Danio rerio: one gene and its partners. The protein of the gene in region 4 interacts with the protein of the main gene of each other region in a biochemical or structural test. Links are inferred from orthologs where the notes say so. Each region holds a gene or a part of one and is shown on either strand. Other genes may lie near its edges.

Region 1 (3,517 bases), on a different chromosome or scaffold from region 4:
TTCTTTTTTTTTTTTTTACAAATTTTTCTGCAGAAATAGCAAAAAATGTCTGCATATTCTTGCTGGCCCTGCTTACCTTTATTACTGTGTGATTCCCTACAAAGTGTGAAGCTGCCTTATTTGGTTCCTGTCACATGACTCGTTTTTCCGCTCACAGAACTCTGAAATGTTTTGATTTTTTCAACTTACGGCACTTGGAAAACGTGAGCGTGAAATACCTCATGTGCATCCCCATCCTATTTGCACGCTGAACAAGCACGTCTCTATTTGAAATAACAAAACTAAGCGTCCAAAAGACGCTATGTGAAAGTTACCTTTTATTGACTCGCAATATAAGACCTGCACATTGCAAGGCTCTGTTTGCAGTTTAATTTAAATTAAATAAATACTTTACACAGGCCAACCAAAGAAGTCCATCGTAAAATGCCCAGGTCTGCTTTAAGAGAACGTTTCAGATGGCACTTAGATGCTTTTGCATCTAAACTCTTCATTGACTATGTTAAATATTAATATATACAGTTTTAACTATTTTGGTCATATTGTAAAATGGGATAAATAGAAATATGAATTAATTAATAATTAATTGAACATTTTGAATGCCTAATGTCTAATTTTCCTTATATTTAATCTCAACTCATAGAAATAAATTTAAATATCCAGAGGGAAATGCACTAATTTCCAATAGTTTTATTTTAGTTTTACATTTCATCATTTATATTTCTCATTTATGAATTTCTTTTATAATATATGTCTAGTATTAACTGCACTTAAGTGAGGATTTCTAACCCTACTGGTTACTCACATTACCACCACCAGGAACATGCTGCATATTGTCTTTGGATCCACATCTAGACTTAACATTAGTCAAGTCGATCTTCTTATGAACAATAGTCACCTGGAAAAGGAGAGTCAAGAGTGTTAACCAGGTGCTTTGAGCCGAACTGCGGCTCCCCGGCTCTGCAAAGGGGTTTGTTTTCTTCTTAAAGACATTAGATTAGCTTGGCAAGCATTATTTTTTCTTTGTATTCAAATATTTTCTGTGTGAGCTTGAGTAATGGCTTCTTAGAAATGATGCTAGTCTCATACAGAATCCCAATATACACTCAAAAAGGATGAATTGACTGGCCTGTGAACATTGCATGAGGTCAAAACTGACTCTTACAGTTTACTGCACTAAACACTGCAGCTTTAGATTAATTGTGTCCCAATTTTCTGACATGCATGACATAACTACCTTCCCGCCTCCAGGTTGGTGTTTGAGGTTCTCAGTGGAGCCGATCTTGGACTTGACGTTCTTCAAGTCAGGCATGGGTGCCACAGGAGCAATCTGAGCGCGGGATCTCAGCGAGCCAGGTGATTTGGGTGGGGTGCGTACAACCGCTACCTTCTTCACCTGTTGCCCGGGAGTGGAGGACCGACTGGCGGGGCTGCTGCAACCACTGCGGTCTGGGGTTTTAGGTGAGTCGGCTGACAATGAGAAACAGCAGAAGACCACAATGTTTTCTTCTGTTTTTGCTTTTTTTTATTACACTATAGTTTATTGTCCTATAAAAGGCCTTCTAGCCTACCATTGGCATGATAGTATTTACAAGCTTCCGTGTCATTTTATTAACCACAAAACAATTCATAAATGTACTTGTTTGTACATAAATGTTTATTTTTTTATGATTATTGAGATTAATACATCAGATAAAAGCTAAATAAATAAGCTTTCCATCTTTTTAGTGATGTAAGTTTTTTAGGATAGGGCAGTATTTGGCTGAGATACAAGGTTCTAAAAAATCTAAATATTGAGAAAATCACCTTTTAAGGTGTCCAAATGAAGTGCTTAGCAATGCACATTACAAATAAAGAAATTGTTTCACATATTTACTGTGTTAAATTTACTAAATATGATCATGGAAGCATGGAACATCATGGATAATGGAACATGATCTTTACTTAAAAGGATAGTTCATCCAAAAATGGAAATTTCCTTATTATTTACTCTTCCTCAAGTGGATCCAAACCTTTATAAGTTTCTTTTTTCTGTTGAACTCAAAATAAGATATTTGAAAGATAGCTGAAAACCTGTAACCATTGATTTATATAACAGGTAAAACGAATGGTCAATGGTTACAGGTTTTTAGCTTTCTTCAAAATATCTTCTTTTGTGTTCAATAGAGTAAAGAAACTCAAACAGGTTTGGAACAAGTAAAATATGACAGTATTTTCATTTTGGGGTAAACTGTCCTATAATATTCTTATAAGTTTTGGCATTAAAAATGTATATTTTTGATCCATACAAGATTCATCATGGCCAACAGTGCATAGTGTAATAAAATATTTGATTAGATCCTGGCCCAGGACTTTTTTTTTTTTTACCTCTTTCAATGGACCCTGGTCCTGTCCTTCGCTGCTCCATCCGTGAAGCAGCTGTATTTTACAAATCAAAGTGGTACAAATCAGTCGCATAAATGCTCTATAAATAGAAAACTATGCCCTTGGGGTTTTACAACCCATTTCCAATAGGCAGAAATTGTGCTTCCAGAAGACTAGCAAAGCAGGAAGGTGTGCATACTTTTGCATGTTGCCATTATATGTACAGTTGAAGTCAGAATTATTAAAAGTTCCTGAATTATAAAGCCCCCCTGTTTATTTTTTCCCGTTTTTGTTTAACGGAGAGCAGATTTTTTTAACACATTTCGAAACATAATAGTTTTAATAACTCATCTCTAATAACTGATTTATTTTATCTTTGCCATGATTACAGTAAATAATATTTTATCAGATATTTTCAAGACGCTTCTATACAGCTTAAAGTGACATTTATAGGCTTAACTAGGTTAAATAGGTTAACTAGGCAGATTAGGATAATAAGACAAGTTATTGTATAACAATGATTTGTTCTGTAGACTATCGAAAACAAATATAGCTTAAAAGGGCCAATAATTTTAACCTTAAAATGGTTTTAAAACAATTAAAATCTGCTTTTATTCTAGCCGAAATAAAACAAATAAGACTTTCTTCAGAAGAAAAAATATTATCAGACATACTGTGAAAATGTCCTTGCTCTGTCAAACATCATTTGGGAAATATTTAAAAAAGAAAAAAAAAATCAAAAGGGGGCTAATAATTCTGATTTCAACTGTGAGTGAATGCACTGAAATACATCCAGGTATTATGTTATAATTACTGAGTGAATTTTTTGATTGTACACAGCAATACTGAATGCTTTAAAATAGAGGAAATCAGTACTAAATTGCAAAAAGTGTTTACATAATAACATTCAAGTTCCTTTTCAACCTGTCGGATGTTGAGTCACCAAAAATACTTCCTATTAATGGAACTAAATAAAGATTCATGTAGAACCCTGAAAATATTTATTTAAAAAAATCACTTACCAGGGATTTTGGCACCAACTCCTTGGGGTTTAGCACCCGCTGTCTTTGTCTTTGCATCTCCAGCCTAAATATGGACAATTAAAGCAAGAATGAGCTAGCGGTAAATCTAATGCTATTTATAATCATTTTACAGT
Region 2 (4,181 bases), on a different chromosome or scaffold from region 4:
ACTGTAGAATAGTATTTAAGGAAAAAAAACCACAAACGCGCTGCTTCCTTTTGTGACAACATGGGAAAATCAACAAGCCAGAATCAACAACAAAGCCAGAGTACAATTTGCTAAATTACACTGGTAAAAAGAATAATATTTGGAGACATGTCTTGTGGTCTGATGGAACTAAGATTGAACTGTTTGGCCATAATGACCAGTGTTACATTTGGAGGACAAAGGGAAAAGCTTACAAGCCTAGGAACACCATCCCAACTGTGAAGTATGGGGGCGTCAGCACCATGTTGTAGGGCTGTTTTGTTGCAGGAGGGACTTGTCCACTTCACTGCATAGATGGCATCATGAAGAGAGAACATTATGCAGAAATACTGAAGCAACATCTCAAGACATCAGCCAGGAAATTAAAACTTAGCCACAAATGGGTCTTTCAAATAGACCTTGACCCTAAGCACACTGCCAAATTAGTTAAAATGTGATTTAAGGACAACAGAGTGAATGTTTTGGAGTGGCCATCACAAAGCCCTGAACTCAATCCAATAGAAAATTTGTGGGCAGAGTTGAAAAAGCTTGTGCGACCAAGACAGCCAACAAATCTAACTCAGTTACACCAATTTTGTCAAGAGGAATGGGTCAAAATTCCTTCAAACTATTGTGAGAAGCTTGTGGAAGGATACCCAAAACATTTGACCAAAAGTTTTACATTTTAAAAGCAAAGCTAAAAAAAAATACCAATAAAATGTATGTAAACTTTTGACTGTCTGGAAATTAATAAAAAAAAATTTCAATAAAAAAATTGTCTCATTATTCTGGCATTTAGCAAATGTAAATCATTTAGGTAATCTTAACGGACCTAAAATAGTAAACGTTAAGTATGATTTACCATCATATATATATATATATATATATATATATATATATATATATATATATATATATATATATATATATATATATATATATATATATATATATATATATTATTTTTTTTTTAATGGTTATGTTCCTTTTTTTAGAGTGTATGTAAACTTCTGATTTCAACTGTATATATATAGTTTTTTTAATTGCAAATATTTTTGTTTTTATGCGCTGCTTGGTTTTTATTAGCAGTTCTTTTTTTTGTTTGCAAATTTTATTTTTATTTCTCAAAACTTGCTTTGCATTTCTTTTATTCTGCAGGTATTTGTGGTCCTAGATTGACTCCATAGTGTGTGAAGATTTTCATTCGACCTTGATGCTAGAAAAAATACTGAAATAGTTTTTCCTTTCATTCATTTCGCTCCACAGCAAGCCCGCGTCATGCCTGTTGCAGTGACGTCACGGCCGCACAAGGGACTCAGAGCAGAGCAAAAAGAGAGAGGTGGAAAAAAAGAAACAAGTGTTCGAGGCGTTCGTGGAAACAGGAAGCAAAGAGGGGGGAAAGCCGAGCCGAGCACAGACTGTTGTTGTTGTTATGAAAAAGAAACTTCGGAAGGGAGCGCTCTGGTTCTCACTAGCCCGTTATTTTGCGCTTTTTAACTGTCGGTGCTGTCGGCTGAAGCGCGAGGACTTTCCGTCCGTTGCTTGGACACCGATGAAGGAGGGAAGCTCGCGGACTAACGGCTACCTGATCAGGGGTCTCGGGTTTATTTGCCCTCCCTGACCGTCCACCACACTGGAACTAACCCCTCATTACTGTTGCCGTATTCCTATAAAGGCAGCGCGTCACACTGCACCTTTTAAGCAAAGCCCTGGTGGATTTTACCAGAGTATTTTTACGTTTGAAGAAGTCTTCAGTCCGTCTGACAGGAACGGTGCACGCGCAGCTAACGCGAGCTAGCGACTTAGCTGCTAATGTCAACTAACATGGAGGGAGAGGTGCATGTGTTACATAACAGCCAAACGCAATTAAATCACCGACTTTTGACACCCAACAAGCACAGCGATGGACGTGAATTAATCTCCAAAGAATAAGACAGGCCATAGACCGATTTATTTGGGAGTGATGGAGTCGAATCCGCTGATCAGCGGTAAGTTTTAATGCACTTCGCAGAGGTTGGGAGATGGTGGAGTGATTACAGTCGAGTTTAATAAAGTGCTTGTTTGTCAAATAAAGCAGAATACATTCAACAATAGCTTCGTTTTGTTTACGATTCGTTTGTACGTGAGCTCTAGGGTGCTTAATCCATAGTGTGTTGCAGAACGTTTTGTTCAGTGTGCCTGTTCACAACACAGTGAATGATTTTAACGTTATATACATTTGATTTTGGCCAGGGTGAGTTAACAAAACATGTTGGAAGGCTAATGCACAGATACTGTGTTGGAGCACATGTTTTGCAAAACAAATTTCTATCATTAACCGACTCCACACACTGCTGTTTTTGCGTCAAACACAGCATACCAGTGCTTGGTAGACGTTTTTACCTCCTGGATGTTTCAGTGATGTTCATTCAGCAAAAAGAGCTTGAATGTCATTTTAACACAGCTTTCTATATTTCACTGTTAATTAATATATATATATATATATATATATATATATATATATATATATATATATATATATATATATATATATATATATATAGTACAGTATTTCAAATCTCAGCACTCCCAAACAAGCTAGTTCACAGCGTGAATGGTTTGTTTTTATGTTTGAGAGGTGGATTTTATAAATTAAAAGCTGTTATTATATCGCTGTTTATTTCATATTGTACTATAATTGAGCAACATGTCCTTAATTTCCTCTGTTTACATTAATACAAAACACTCCAGGCTAGGGCTGCACAATATATTGTTTCAGCATTGTTATCACAATGTGATCATTGTGCAATGTTGAGTTTGTATTATAACTTATTATTTGCATGTGTTTTTGAAGCCTGTGATTGTATAAAGATTTTAAAAACATTCAGGCATAAGAAATCGTTCTATTTGTGGCATTAACTATGAATAACTTTATTGAATTATTTTAATTATTCAGTTACTGTACTTGAATACTATTAGACTCCATACACACAGAGTTGAAGTCAGAATCATTAGCCCCCCCTGTTTATTTTTTCCCCCGTTTTCTGTTTAGCAGAGATATTTTTTTAAACACATTTCTAAGCATAATAGTTTTAATAACTCATTTCTAATAATAACTGATTTATTTTATCTTTGCCTTGATGGCAGTAAATAATATTTTACTAGATTTTTTTCAAGACACTTGCTAATATACAGCTTAAAGTAACGTTTAAAAGCTTAACTAGGTTAATTAGGTCTACTAGTCAGGTTAGGGTAATTAGAAATGTCATTGTATAACAATGGATTGTACTGTAGTATATCAGAAAACAAAATATGTTTTTCAGGGAACCAAAAAATGGACTAATAATTTTTTTCTTAAAATGGTATTTAAAAAATTACAAAATGCTTTTATTCTTGCCGAAATAAAAAAACTTAGACTTTTTCTAGAAGAAAAAAATATTATCAGACATTTCCTTGCTCTGTTAAACATCATTTGGGAAATAATGACCGTTTTATTTTACATTTGATTGTTCTATTTCTGTGCTTGAATACTGTTTGACTCCTCAGAAAACGGTTATTTAACTTTTATTTTTGCTGTCATGTTTATATGCTTCTAAATGTATTATATTCATGCAGATGTACTACACAGAACACCTCATCATCCCAGTCAATCTAAATGAATGAAATCTTTCCAAATAGAGCTATTCAAATTATACGCTGAAATTTAATCCGTCACAATATATGTGTATAAATGATCTCAAAATCCACTTTGTGTACATATTTCATTATTATGTGAAAAACAAAACACAAATGTAAATTCAATCATCAGTCAATGTTCAGATTTGTGCAAAATATAAAACAAATAGATTTCCCAATCAACTTGAGAGTTAATATTTTTATGCTATTCACCTTGACTTACAAAAGTGCATTGAACATGATTGTGCAATGCATGTTAACCGCAGTGCTTGCGTAAACAAATCCAGTGTCATCTTGTATTACCAGCAGGCAGCACGTAAACCCAAGGAGACGGGATGGGCACATTGATGAACCTCAAGGAACTGTTGAGAGCCCCATTTAATTCACGAGTAGATCTGTTTATTAGGGATCTGCTTGGCGTTTTAGCACTGGATTAATTCTGCTCACATCACAGTCCTGTCTGGCTCTCCTCCTTTGGGATGGCCATTCATTCATTGACTATAAGTCAT
Region 3 (3,547 bases), on a different chromosome or scaffold from region 4:
TTCAACCATTTATTAATTTAATATTAAGTCATTGTTGCTGGTTAAATTGTTAAAACTTGTATACATCTTCAACTTCTACAATTTTTTTTAACATATTTGCAGGCTAACACTAACCTTAATAAACTTTTGTTTCAGTTGACACAAAAATGAGGCCATGATTAAAGGCATTGGTCTATTTAGTACTTGACTGTGTGATAATTACTTGATAATTTCAGCATTACTGATTTAAAGAGTCAATCAAATTATGTGTCTGCTTTATTTTGATGTAAAAATGTTATATTAAGTTTGCATTTAACCTTTAGCAATTAAGCATGTATTTATAATGTTATTATTTTTAATTACTGTAAGGATGTTTTTTGACACCCTTTTTTCCCAGTCCTGTCTGTGGACTTTACAAAACAGCCAGTCTCTTCCAAAACATGTTATTACATGTTTGTCAATTTGAACACACACACACATACACACACAAGCGTCATTTCCATTAAGACAACAGAGACATTGTTTTTCATTTGACATACTTTATTACAGTTCATAAATATTGATTAGTTTCTGAGGTGCTCAGAAAACAAACATAAAAAATTATTGTACTTTACTTACAAATGGTAAACTTAAGTACTCCTGGTTGATCATATTTACAAATAACAATGAGTGAAACCTCATTAATGAACTTTTTTTTTAGAAAAAGAAACTGCTTAAGTTGGACTAACTCAAAAGGAAAAAAGTCGATTTCCGTTCAATTTAAGAACAACAAAAAAAGTACAATATGTAGCTCAGAAGTCAGGCAGCTTTTTTATCAAAAGTTTAGCAGACACAACGTCCTGCTTGGTGAGCCAGTATCCCTACTGTACGGCAGTCGCGTCTCTGTTTTACTCCTATAATACTGAGTGCTCCTTTGAAGCGTATAGGTCCATGCACAACCTGGTCGATGTGAACAAGGATTTCGTCAGAAAGTAAAACATGTAACAGAGTGAGTCTCATGCGCTCTGCGTCTCTGTCGGACCGAGTGAAGTTTTGCGCTCCTCAAAAGTCCAGTCGGATCATCCTTTAACGGCACGCGGCCGGCCGGACGGTCCCGGTCCCCGCGGGCTCTGTCGCGCCAGATCGCAGACATCAAGCCCCTGAAGTTTGTTTATGTGGCTGAACTCAAAATGTCCTTCGGCTCTCCTCAGAAGGTTTGCAGCTGTTGTGTCAACATGAGCTGGCAGCCGCTGTTGACGTGGTTCATGACTTTCTGCTTGAGCTGTGCCACTTGCTCGCGCAGCATGTTGGCGGTGGACGCGAGCTCCGAGTTTTGCGACTTCAGGGTCTTGACTTTGTCCTCCAGCCGGGAGATCCTCTCCAGTTTCCTCTTCCGGCATTTGGACGCGGCGATTCTGTTTCTCATGCGCTTCCTCTCGGCTTTAATCCGCTCCTGGCTCTCCATGTCGATAGGAGAGAGCGGTGGGGTCTCGCCGGGCATCTCGGGCACCGTTTGGGGCTCCTCTTTCAGGGCCTGGAGGCGCGGGTGCTGGACGGGCAGCTGCGGTGGTGCGCTCGGGAAGCTCATCGCGGCTGGATTGGCCGAGCTGCTGCTGATAGCAGGGTTGAACGTGTTCAGATCCGCGTAAACCGGCGGATCAGCGCGCATGGCTGAGCTGTAGACCGCACCGCCCGCTATGGACGAGACCGGTGCCATGCTGCTGTTGATAGTAGTTTGGGGAGCCGAGGTGACGTTGGGCATGTGCTGGTGGTGCAGCTCAGCCAGTGCCCTCACAAAGCCCTCCGCGAACCCCTCCTGCTCATCCGTCACGTTCTTGGGACACAGAAACTGGGTCGGAGTTGGCGTCGTGGTGATCATGCCGTTGCTAGACTGGATGATGAGCCTCTCCAGCTCCGGTGATGCCAGTTTGAGAAGTCCCACGTCGGGAGAAGTGAGGATATCGCTGGCTTTGGCCCTCAGGTGGGGCTTTAGGTTCCCCGCGGGGTCGGACAGATTGAGCGTCATGTTGTGTTTCAGAGCCTTGTGGTTGTATCCAAAAGTGGCGCTGTCATGCTGAGAGAAAGCGCTGTTTAGAGAGTCATCGTAGAAAGTAGTTTCCATCTTGGTAGACATAGAAGGCAAAGCGAAACTTTTAGTTCAGAAGCAGTCTTTTAGGCGCTGTTAAGCACTGTCCGCGTTCAGTAACGAGCGCTGCGGTGTTTGGAACAAAAGCGAGAGGATTGGAAAAGTTCCTCAACTCCCCGTCCCGCGAGAAACTTACTGCGTAAAGTTATCGCCAGTGTCACGGGCTCGTCTCCTCCTGCCTTCCGCGGATAGAAAGTTCTTCCTCCGCCGCTGTCGCGCTTCTCAGACACCAGCAGATAAACAGTGCTTAGCCGAAGGCTTATTTATGTTGGTTTGAGTGAGGTGTTTCACTGTGGCGAGGTCTGTATACTCTGAGCTTCTCCAGCGTGGAGGCAAACCTTATCTGCTACCGCTGCCCCACTAAAAATAGAAATGATGTAATGCGCGCAGCCTCTCATTGGCTGGAGGCGTTTTACTGGGCGTGTCACAATTTCAGATAAGGCGCGTTGCCTAGACGACCACCCAGAAGATTCTACTCGCGGTGCCTGATGGGATGAGGTAATGCTGTAAAGCAGTGCATTGTGGGATTACGTATTGTTTTTGAATATCTGGTTACCCGCTTAGCTGTTTTAGACCGTGGCGGGATACAAAGAAGCAGAGTAATGTACAACGCGCCACTTTTAGAACTTAAACTTTACTATAAGTTTGAGAAGAAGAGGCAGAATAAATGTGTGCCGCTGTATGTTTGAGAGTTGACCAATTCTTGCGCGAGTTTCGCAAGACGCGGCCATTCTTTAACAACAGCAAGTTCCAAACACTCTCTGGATCCAGTTTAATGTATTGCATATACATCAGTAAGGTAAAAAATATATATTAGAAATACAGTTTGGAGTCAGTGAAACTAATTTCCAACCTTACAATAAAATGTTGAGGGAGATTTAAAACGAAAAAAAAATAGAAGAAATGCCTTCTGAAATAATAAATTAAATAAGCATAACTTGATGTTACTCATTTTGTTTGAATATAATGTTAGATTAGCTGATTAAAAGTATTTTTTTTTAATCAGTCGTTGAAATATATTATGAATTAATTAGTATTTGCTAATTTTACTCTTCTTCACTTCCAGCACTCCCTTGTTGGCCCCCTGGGGGTCCCCGAACCCTAGTTTAAAAACCTCAGTGTTATACAGGCATACATAATTTAATCTGGCACGAAGAAACAGGGCTATAGTCTGCTTTTTTATGCCAAAGTGCATTTGCTCCGTCAGCCAATGGTCTAAAAATGGGGGCGTTTCTTATTGTGGAGTGACAGCGTGCCACAAAGTCCAGCCGCCGTATCCGTGACAGTCCCTAGAGATCCTCTCAAAAGTGCAAACAACCCTGTTAAACGTCACTGCGTCAACCACAACCACAAACTGATCGAATATAGCGTGACAGCTGACAAGTGACGTTTCAGTTTACTTTCTGAGATTTTTACTGACGTTGCTTAAACGTATGTAAAGAC
Region 4 (4,189 bases):
CTCTGGGTGGCGATTAAAACAATTGTGGGTGTTCCCACCTTGAGATTGCTTATAACGTTTGTGGTAATATTCACAGAGAGCAAATGAGTTTGCGTGCCACTGAAAGTAAACGTTGTTCAGAAAATACACAAAATATAAACGGAATCAGTACATAAAACGCTTAACTACAAAGATGATCAAGAAAAAATGTGTTCTCTGTCATTGCGGCTATTTATCTTCAGGCAAACGCAGGTCTGTGTAGGTCTACAGCATGGAGAATACAACATGCTTCTGCCGAAGCTGAGAGAGGATCACGTGAGCTTCTCTGGTGCTCCTATTGGCTGTCACTCAAGCAAGTCACTCTTCATTTGCATAAAGTTGAGCTTGACACACCCACTTTGTCACCAACGGTCGCTGTTGCTCATGTAGATGGAGGTCGCTTGCTCTTTATTGAAATGAATGGTCGCTTGTCGCAGACATCCCAAGTAAGGAAAAGTGATTTCCAGTGAAGACAGGGATGATTTAAGGGAGATTGAGGGGTGGAGGGCGACATATCTGAAGAGCGGGGCAGGGGTGCGCAACGTATCTGAAGAGTGTGAACTGTGCAACTGTGCAAATCTGAACTGTGCAAAGAACTTGAGGACCGGGCAAAAGAAAAACGATTTCCGGGAGATTATCATTCGTTTGCAGGCATCCAGGAGTCTTTATGCATTTGGGGGTGACTCCCGAAATTTCCTGGAAACTTAGGATGTCTGTTGTCACTTGTCGCTGCAAGTCACTCATAGAAGCAGTACACACACATACATATATATGTGTGTGTTTACTAACACCACGTGGCCGCAGTGATTATAGCGGTTAAGAACTACATATCAATTTTACTGTCTTTATTACAAACATGCTCTGTATTAAAAACTTTTAAACTTAATACAAAAATTAAAGAGTTGGAACAAATATTTTATCCCAGTTTATTTGCAAACAAATGTTCTGTGGACATGTCTATACATGTATTATAGAAACGTATGCTGTCAATTAATTCGGTGCACATGGAAACCGCACTCCTATGTCACGTTGAGCCTCAAAATCACTGGGATCTGGGTCCTATTTTAACATCAGGAAATTTTAAAAATGAGACTTGTTGGGTTTCTATTACTCCAACATGACAGTGGACACACAAACAGATAGTTCTGTCCAAACAGCTTACAGAAGCTGATTTTCATCATAGGTGCCCTTTAAATGGTGGCAAAACTAATTTTTAATTAGATTAATTATTTTTCCCTGAGCTATTTTTTTATGACTTTTATTTTTTTTTTTGTTTAAAGATGAAGTAGAGCATAATGTCATATGATAATCGCTGCAGAATCCAATGAAACTTTGAGTGCCCAAAGTGCAATGCGATTTCCTCAGAACTTTCTAGTATCATCCTGAAAAATGAATATAAATGTACAAGAAATAGCTGCTTAAGGGCATCCTGCTATTAACTTTCTCACAAAACAAACACATACAAAAATACCTGCTGAGTGCTGCTGACACACATACAGTTCAAGTCAGTATTATTAGCCCACTTTAATTTTTTTTTCTTTGGTAAATATTTCCCAAATGATGTTTAACAGAGCAAGGAAATGATCACAGTATGTCTGATTTTTTTTTTCTTCTGGAAAAAGTCTTATTTGTTTTACTTTAAGCTGTATAGAAGTGACTTGAAAAAAAATCTAGTCAAATATTATTTACTGTCATCATGGCAAAGATAAAATAAACCAGTCATTAGAAATGAGTAATTAAAACTATTATGTTTAGAATTGTGTTGAAAAAATATTCTCCGCTAAACAAAAAATGCGGAAAAAATAAACAGGAGGGCAAATAATTTATCCAATGATGAACCAATAATGTAATATTGGACTGAAAATGTAAATAACAGGAAATCATACAAATCTTTCTTAATGAAAAGCTAACTTATTACAGGTGATTGTTTTAGATGTACTTCAACTTTCAATGTTAGGTGAATAAGCAACTAAATGGCCTAAAGATATGAATCGTAGTTGAATTACAGTGCATCTCTTGACCTGCAGAATGTCAACACATCCTTCAGTTCATGCATCACAGCAGTGTCATTGACCTCATTCAGATACAAGTTGCCCCCTTACAGAATATACACTGATATATTAAGCCAATCCACGAACACTAAATATAAATCCACAGCATGTCAAGAGTAGATTTACCACGTTTTTAAGTCATGTCATTCTGCTGCCAGGCTGCAGTCGCTCCATCACAGCAAAGCTAAGTCGCAGCTAGCTACGTCCCTGCATAACATACACCAGTTAAACAATAAATCGCATTAAACTAATAGACTTTACATCCCAAACACTCATGGTAAGCTCTTCTGCGTGGCTGTGAGTGACTCTTGTGTCGGCCTGATCCATCTTGAGGCCAGAACTGCTGCAGATGTGTATGTGTGTGTGTGTATGTGTGTCAAACTCCCGGCAAACTGGCACTCCACGACAACACGAGCACACAAACACGCGCTCTCTGCTCGCTCCTCCGTAAAAACACGACAGCATGTCTTTGTAGTGGCTAAAAGAAACACACGACTGTTTGAGGTGTATACATTTTCGCTAGCTCGCTGCGTGCTTACCTTCTCTTCTTCTCCTCGCGTTCTCCAGTTCACTCCCATACATACACACACTCGCCAGCAAACAGAGCCTCTGAACCGCGGAAGTGTCGGCGTTTATCGCTTCCACGTTCAACACGACGGACAGGTCAAGTTCAGCTCTCTTTTAGGAGGCTTGACAGTAAAATCCAGAGTGTGGCATGACTGACCGTTGGGCGGAGGTTGGTGGGACAGTATTTTTTCGACGTCTCTCTCTCTTTCTCTCGCTCGCTCTCGCGCACTGGGTAGGATGACGTAATGGCGCACTCGTCAGGTCGAGTTGTAACTTTTGATGCAGATTGAAAAGTTGCAGGAAGGATTGAAGCTCACTGTCAAATTGAGGTTGTGGCTAATAGACGAGAGACTTGTTGTCTATAAACATCGTTTTTAACTAGGCCAGGCTTCACAAATATAAGGCCTCCGCGCTGTCATAGTTTTTCTGTTAAACAAAATAGTTTGTTAAAATGTAAATCCCATAGACGGTAAATCCAAACAAATTTCTTCATCATATTCGCTAATAATTGTTTGACACTGAAAACACGCCCTACCCAATATATATAAATATATATATATATATAAATATATATATATATATATATATATATATATATATATATATATATATATATATATATATATTTTTTTTTTTTTTTTTTTTTTTTTTGTATAACAAAAATAATTCAAGCTTAGGGGTCTGTTCATTGGTAAAAGAGGAAGGATAGCTTAATAGGGTGAGTGTGTGGGGATACTTTCTGTTGTTCATTTTGTTGTACCTTGCCTGGTGCACTCCATGAATACCAATTAGCACAATGCAACTAAAATCATGTCAGCAAACTAATCTTAAGATATCAAACCAACCTGCCTCAAAAACACAAAACCTTTTTTTTTATTATTATTATTTTGATATAAAAATAAGGAAATTAGATTCTATCTGATGTCTCAAAACAAATTATTGTCTTCTTACTAAGTTTTATTTCGTTTTATTATTCGGTCGGCCCTTTAGAACAAGTCCTCCATTTAAACTTGTCCATATGATAACGACTTTTTTTGTCACCCTCTTACACTTATACACTACGGATTTAGCCTACCTTCCTCTGTCAAGCATCTCTTGGGAAATATTTCAAAAGAAAAACATGCACCATATATATATATATACACACAAACACATACACACACACACACACACACAAATATCAGATGGTAAATCAGCCTTTCTTTCATGCACCACAGTGCAATTTGCATCAAAGATGTCATGGGATTCATTCATTCATTCATTCGTTTTCTTGTTGGCTTAGTCCCTTTATTAATCCAGGGAATGAACCACTAACTTATCCAGAAGGTTTTTACGCAGCGGATGCCCTTCCAGCCACAACCCATCTCTGGGAAACATCCTCACACACACTCATACACTACAGACAATTTAGCCTACCCAATTCACCTGTACCACATGTCTTTGGACTGTTGGGGGAAACCGGAGCAAACCCACGCGAAGGCAGGGAGAACATGCAAACTCCACACAGAAACTCCAACTGAGCCGAGGTTCAAACCAGCGACCTTCTTGCTGTG
Region 5 (3,484 bases), on a different chromosome or scaffold from region 4:
CAGTTCGGCTAATCTACCGCCTGTGTGTTTTCGGGAAATAGCTGATAAAGGAGTCACTGTGGGCACTTCTCGTTTATAAGCCTTGCTCTTATATTTACTGAGATCTGTTTGTCTATTTTTGTGCTTGCGACGGCTCCGTTTTCTGCAAAGTACCTGGAAAATGCCCGTGCTCATATTTTTATCTCTAGTTTTCTTTTCGCTGAAACTGTTTTGGGAAGGTTTGTGCGCGCGGGGAAAATCCCGCGTTGCTAAATTTTCTCTCGTTCACACGCGCTCCATTCATCGAACGTCAGAGTTGAAAGCGCGCGGACTTCCTGACCGGTAGCGTGGGCGGGGGTTCCCGAAATCTACCCTTAGTGACGTACATAGACCAAAACTGCCCATATATGGGCCTTGCGTCAGCAGGAAAAAAAAAGCCAACGTGGGCACGTCTTCGACGTAACTTTAAAGCCGTAGGCTACAGAATAAACTTTGTTTCTGCTCTACGCTTGAAATAAACAACCCAAACAGTAGAATCATTTTCAACATTTTTACTTAAATATAAAAAATAAACAAAAACAAACAAACAGAAAAACAGTTAAAGGTCTGGCTCAACCTGACTCACAATATCAATAACTTACTGGAATGTTTTCAAAGGGCAGCACTTAACAACAAAACCAAAACTGTTCACTTCAAAAGTTTAGTCCATTGTCCGTTCGGCTGAAAGTACCTTATCTTTGGAAAACAACAATAACATTAAAGTTTTCTACAAGAAAACACTTAAGAAATATACAACGCTCGTACTCAGTGCTGCGACAATAACATCATCACAAACAGGATCTGCTCTTCCAGTGTTTCCCAGAGTCCGTAGCATCCCTCTCCCCCCTAAAACGACTTGATCTTCGGCGTCAGCATCAGCTGGCACCCGCTGCTCACATGGGTCATGACCTTCTGCTTAAGCTGAGCTACCTGCTCCCTCAGCAGGGACGCAGTGCTGGACAGTCCGGCGTTATCCGACTTGAGCACTTTCACTTTGTCCTCCAGCCGGGAGATGCGCTCCAGCTTCCGTCGCCGGCACTTGGTGGCCGCCAGTCGGTTCCGGAGCCTCTTGCGCTCCGCTTTGATGCGCTCCTGGTCCTCCATGTCGATGGGCGACATGGGAGGAGAACCATCGCTGCTCTGCAGGTCGGGGACGGTCTGTGGCTCCTCTTTCAGAGTAACGAGCCGCTGCGGATGGAGCGAGTGCTGGAAGTGATGAGGATGCGGCGTGGGCTGGTGGTGATGGTGGTGGTACTGCTGGTGGTGGTGATGGTGAGGCAGGTAGCTGATGGTGGCTGTCGGGTAGTTGGCTGCAGGTGTGAGGTTAGTGTTAGGATTGCAGCTGTTCAGGGTGGTGTACACCGGAGTCTCGGGCGGTAAGGAGGCGCCGAAGACTGACGACGCCACCGAACAACTCGACACCCCGGGGGCTCCGATGGACACGTTCGGCGGGGGCATTTGGTTCATTTTGTGGAGCTCGTCCAGCGCTTTGACGAATCCGTCCGCGAAGCCCTCTTGCTCCTCTGTGATGCTCCGACCGTACAAATACTGCCCCGGCGTGGGTGATGTGATGACGCCGTTACCGTTCTGGATGATGAGTCTCTCTAGCTCCGGAGAGGCGAGTTTCAGCGAGCCCACGTCTCCGGTCGCCGCCGTGTAGAAGTCGCTTTCGGAGCGGAGGGTCTTGAGGTTCCGGTAGGGTTCGGCGAAGCTCACGCTCATGTTCTGCTTTAGGAGCTTGTAGTCGTGCAGGGCAGCGTCTGGATGACCATAAGCAGAAAGAAACGAGTCGTCATAAAACGGTTGCTCCATTTTTGTTGACATGTGAACAGAGATTACGTTGGGACGTACTGAAGCTGACTAAAGTCCGCAAGTTCTCTCCGTTATATTACATCAGGCAAAAGAGAGCAAAAAAAGAAGAAACTTCCAAAATAGTTTACTGTACCAATTCGACAGGTGTTTTCTCTCGACAGCTGACGTCCAAAAAGTGTCTTCCCAGACGGTTATTTACAAACAGCTCTTCTGGCCCGTCGCGCATTCAGTATCATGATAAGTGCGCCTTCATTCTTATATACTCCAAATGCTGAGGGCGTGGCTGAGATAATCGCGGCCGCTGATTGGACGAGAGTTCGTTCCGCTCCTCGAGCTGTCAGATGGGTTGATGACGTTGTTGCCAGTAAGCGCTGAGATTGAAAACAACGCTGGAGGCGAGAGAGCAAAGGGAGACCGAGCGCTGCGCTCCTATTTTTGTTTCCACAGACAAGAAGCAAAAACTGGCCGCAATAGCTCGGCACTTTTAAGAAAAGTTTCCCATGGCCATGAAAACAGAAACACTACTGTGGTCTCTTGAGAAAAACACTACGTTAGAGGATGTCGTGTGAATAATAATAATAAACATTCTTGTCGAAATGGAAACAAAAGGTTCCAACACAATACTGTGATCTCCGTAGATCTGAAGCAGAATATACGAGGAGCTCTTTAATATAAACGAAATTGGAATTTATTTTAAATGTCAAGCTCTAAATATATTCCTTTAATTTAGGTGGAGCATCTAAACTGGCCATTTAAGTAAATACAGGATTGCAGGATTGAGATTGGGGGATTTCAGCCCAAGTTAAATGTGTCTGAGCTACCACATCATCTCGTCAATGATCAAGAGAAGCTCTATTAAAGGGTTAGTTCACCCAAGAGTTACAATTCTGTCATCATTTACTGACTGGATTCAAACCTTTCTTTATATGTTGAACACTGAAGAAGATATTTTGAGGAATGCTGGAAACCCATTGACTTCCATTGTGTTTGTTTTTCTTAACCGTTAGATTTTTTCAGCTTTCTTCAAAATATCTTCTTCATTGTTCAACATAAAAGTTTTGAAGCAAGTAAAAGGTGAGTAAATGATGACAGACATATAATTTGTGGGTGAACTATCCCGTTAATGTGCTTTATTGTTAAACATGCTAGGAAAGGCTATAGTGAGTAATATAAAAATAAAAGTAATTAAGAGAATATCTAATACAGATTCATACAAGGGCTTATCAGCTATTTGAATTGGACTGCTTTTTAAGTACTGAGTCATATAACACATAAAACATGACTAGTAATAATAATAGATCCTTCTCATAGAATTCACTGTAAATAAAAATGTGTTAATGAACAGTTACTGTATTTAGTGATTCACATGTGTGTTTTCTGTTTATTTATAGGTGTGAATTGCATTATGGGATGTTGATATCTGCTCTGTCGACTTTTAATGTTGAAAATTAAACTCTGCAGTTGAACAAAGTGACTTTTATTGACATTTTTGTCAACTTTATCAAATGAAATGAGTGGAGTTAACTCAAAATTCACTGAAAGTTAACTCTACACGTTCTTAACGTTTAGTTATTTCTTAAACCCAATGGTTGAGTTAAACATATTTGGTGCTTTGTTGGGTTATTTTTACCCTTTATTTGGTTATTTAATAATA

Evidence for each region.
Region 1: of the proteins of mapk9 (region 4) and maptb, one has a biochemical effect on the other in vitro, tested with the Homo sapiens proteins (2 studies listed by BioGRID). The link is inferred for Danio rerio from reciprocal best matches to the Homo sapiens genes MAPK9 and MAPT.
Region 2: of the proteins of mapk9 (region 4) and elk1, one has a biochemical effect on the other in vitro, tested with the Homo sapiens proteins (2 studies listed by BioGRID). The link is inferred for Danio rerio from reciprocal best matches to the Homo sapiens genes MAPK9 and ELK1.
Region 3: of the proteins of mapk9 (region 4) and jun, one has a biochemical effect on the other in vitro, tested with the Homo sapiens proteins (17 studies listed by BioGRID and IntAct, with this or other methods). The link is inferred for Danio rerio from reciprocal best matches to the Homo sapiens genes MAPK9 and JUN.
Region 5: the proteins of mapk9 (region 4) and junba form a complex in vitro, tested with the Homo sapiens proteins (2 studies listed by BioGRID). The link is inferred for Danio rerio from reciprocal best matches to the Homo sapiens genes MAPK9 and JUNB.

Annotation. Positions count from the first base shown.
Region 1 is NC_133178.1:20,907,586-20,911,102, forward strand, and holds part of maptb (uncharacterized protein maptb), read right to left. Parts: intron 3,448-3,517; coding exon 3,384-3,447; intron 2,416-3,383; coding exon 2,365-2,415; intron 1,468-2,364; coding exon 1,235-1,467; intron 1-1,234. UniProt on the Homo sapiens protein: Promotes microtubule assembly and stability, and might be involved in the establishment and maintenance of neuronal polarity.
Region 2 is NC_133183.1:10,265,949-10,270,129, forward strand, and holds the start of elk1 (ETS domain-containing protein Elk-1), read left to right. Parts: upstream 1-1,373; 5' UTR 1,374-1,981; coding exon 1,982-2,006; intron 2,007-4,181. UniProt on the Homo sapiens protein: Transcription factor that binds to purine-rich DNA sequences. Forms a ternary complex with SRF and the ETS and SRF motifs of the serum response element (SRE) on the promoter region of immediate early genes such as FOS and IER2.
Region 3 is NC_133195.1:16,778,689-16,782,235, reverse strand, and holds jun (transcription factor Jun), read right to left. Parts: upstream 2,362-3,547; 5' UTR 2,093-2,361; coding exon 1,166-2,092; 3' UTR 502-1,165; downstream 1-501. UniProt on the Homo sapiens protein: Transcription factor that recognizes and binds to the AP-1 consensus motif 5'-TGA[GC]TCA-3'.
Region 4 is NC_133196.1:35,055,006-35,059,194, forward strand, and holds the start of mapk9 (mitogen-activated protein kinase 9), read right to left. Parts: upstream 2,817-4,189; 5' UTR 2,609-2,816; intron 1-2,608. UniProt on the Homo sapiens protein: Serine/threonine-protein kinase involved in various processes such as cell proliferation, differentiation, migration, transformation and programmed cell death.
Region 5 is NC_133176.1:55,055,536-55,059,019, forward strand, and holds junba (junB proto-oncogene, AP-1 transcription factor subunit a), read right to left. Parts: upstream 2,068-3,484; 5' UTR 1,964-2,067; exon of another isoform or gene 1,843-1,963; coding exon of another isoform or gene 1,741-1,842; coding exon 865-1,740; 3' UTR 516-864; downstream 1-515. UniProt on the Homo sapiens protein: Transcription factor involved in regulating gene activity following the primary growth factor response. Binds to the DNA sequence 5'-TGA[GC]TCA-3'.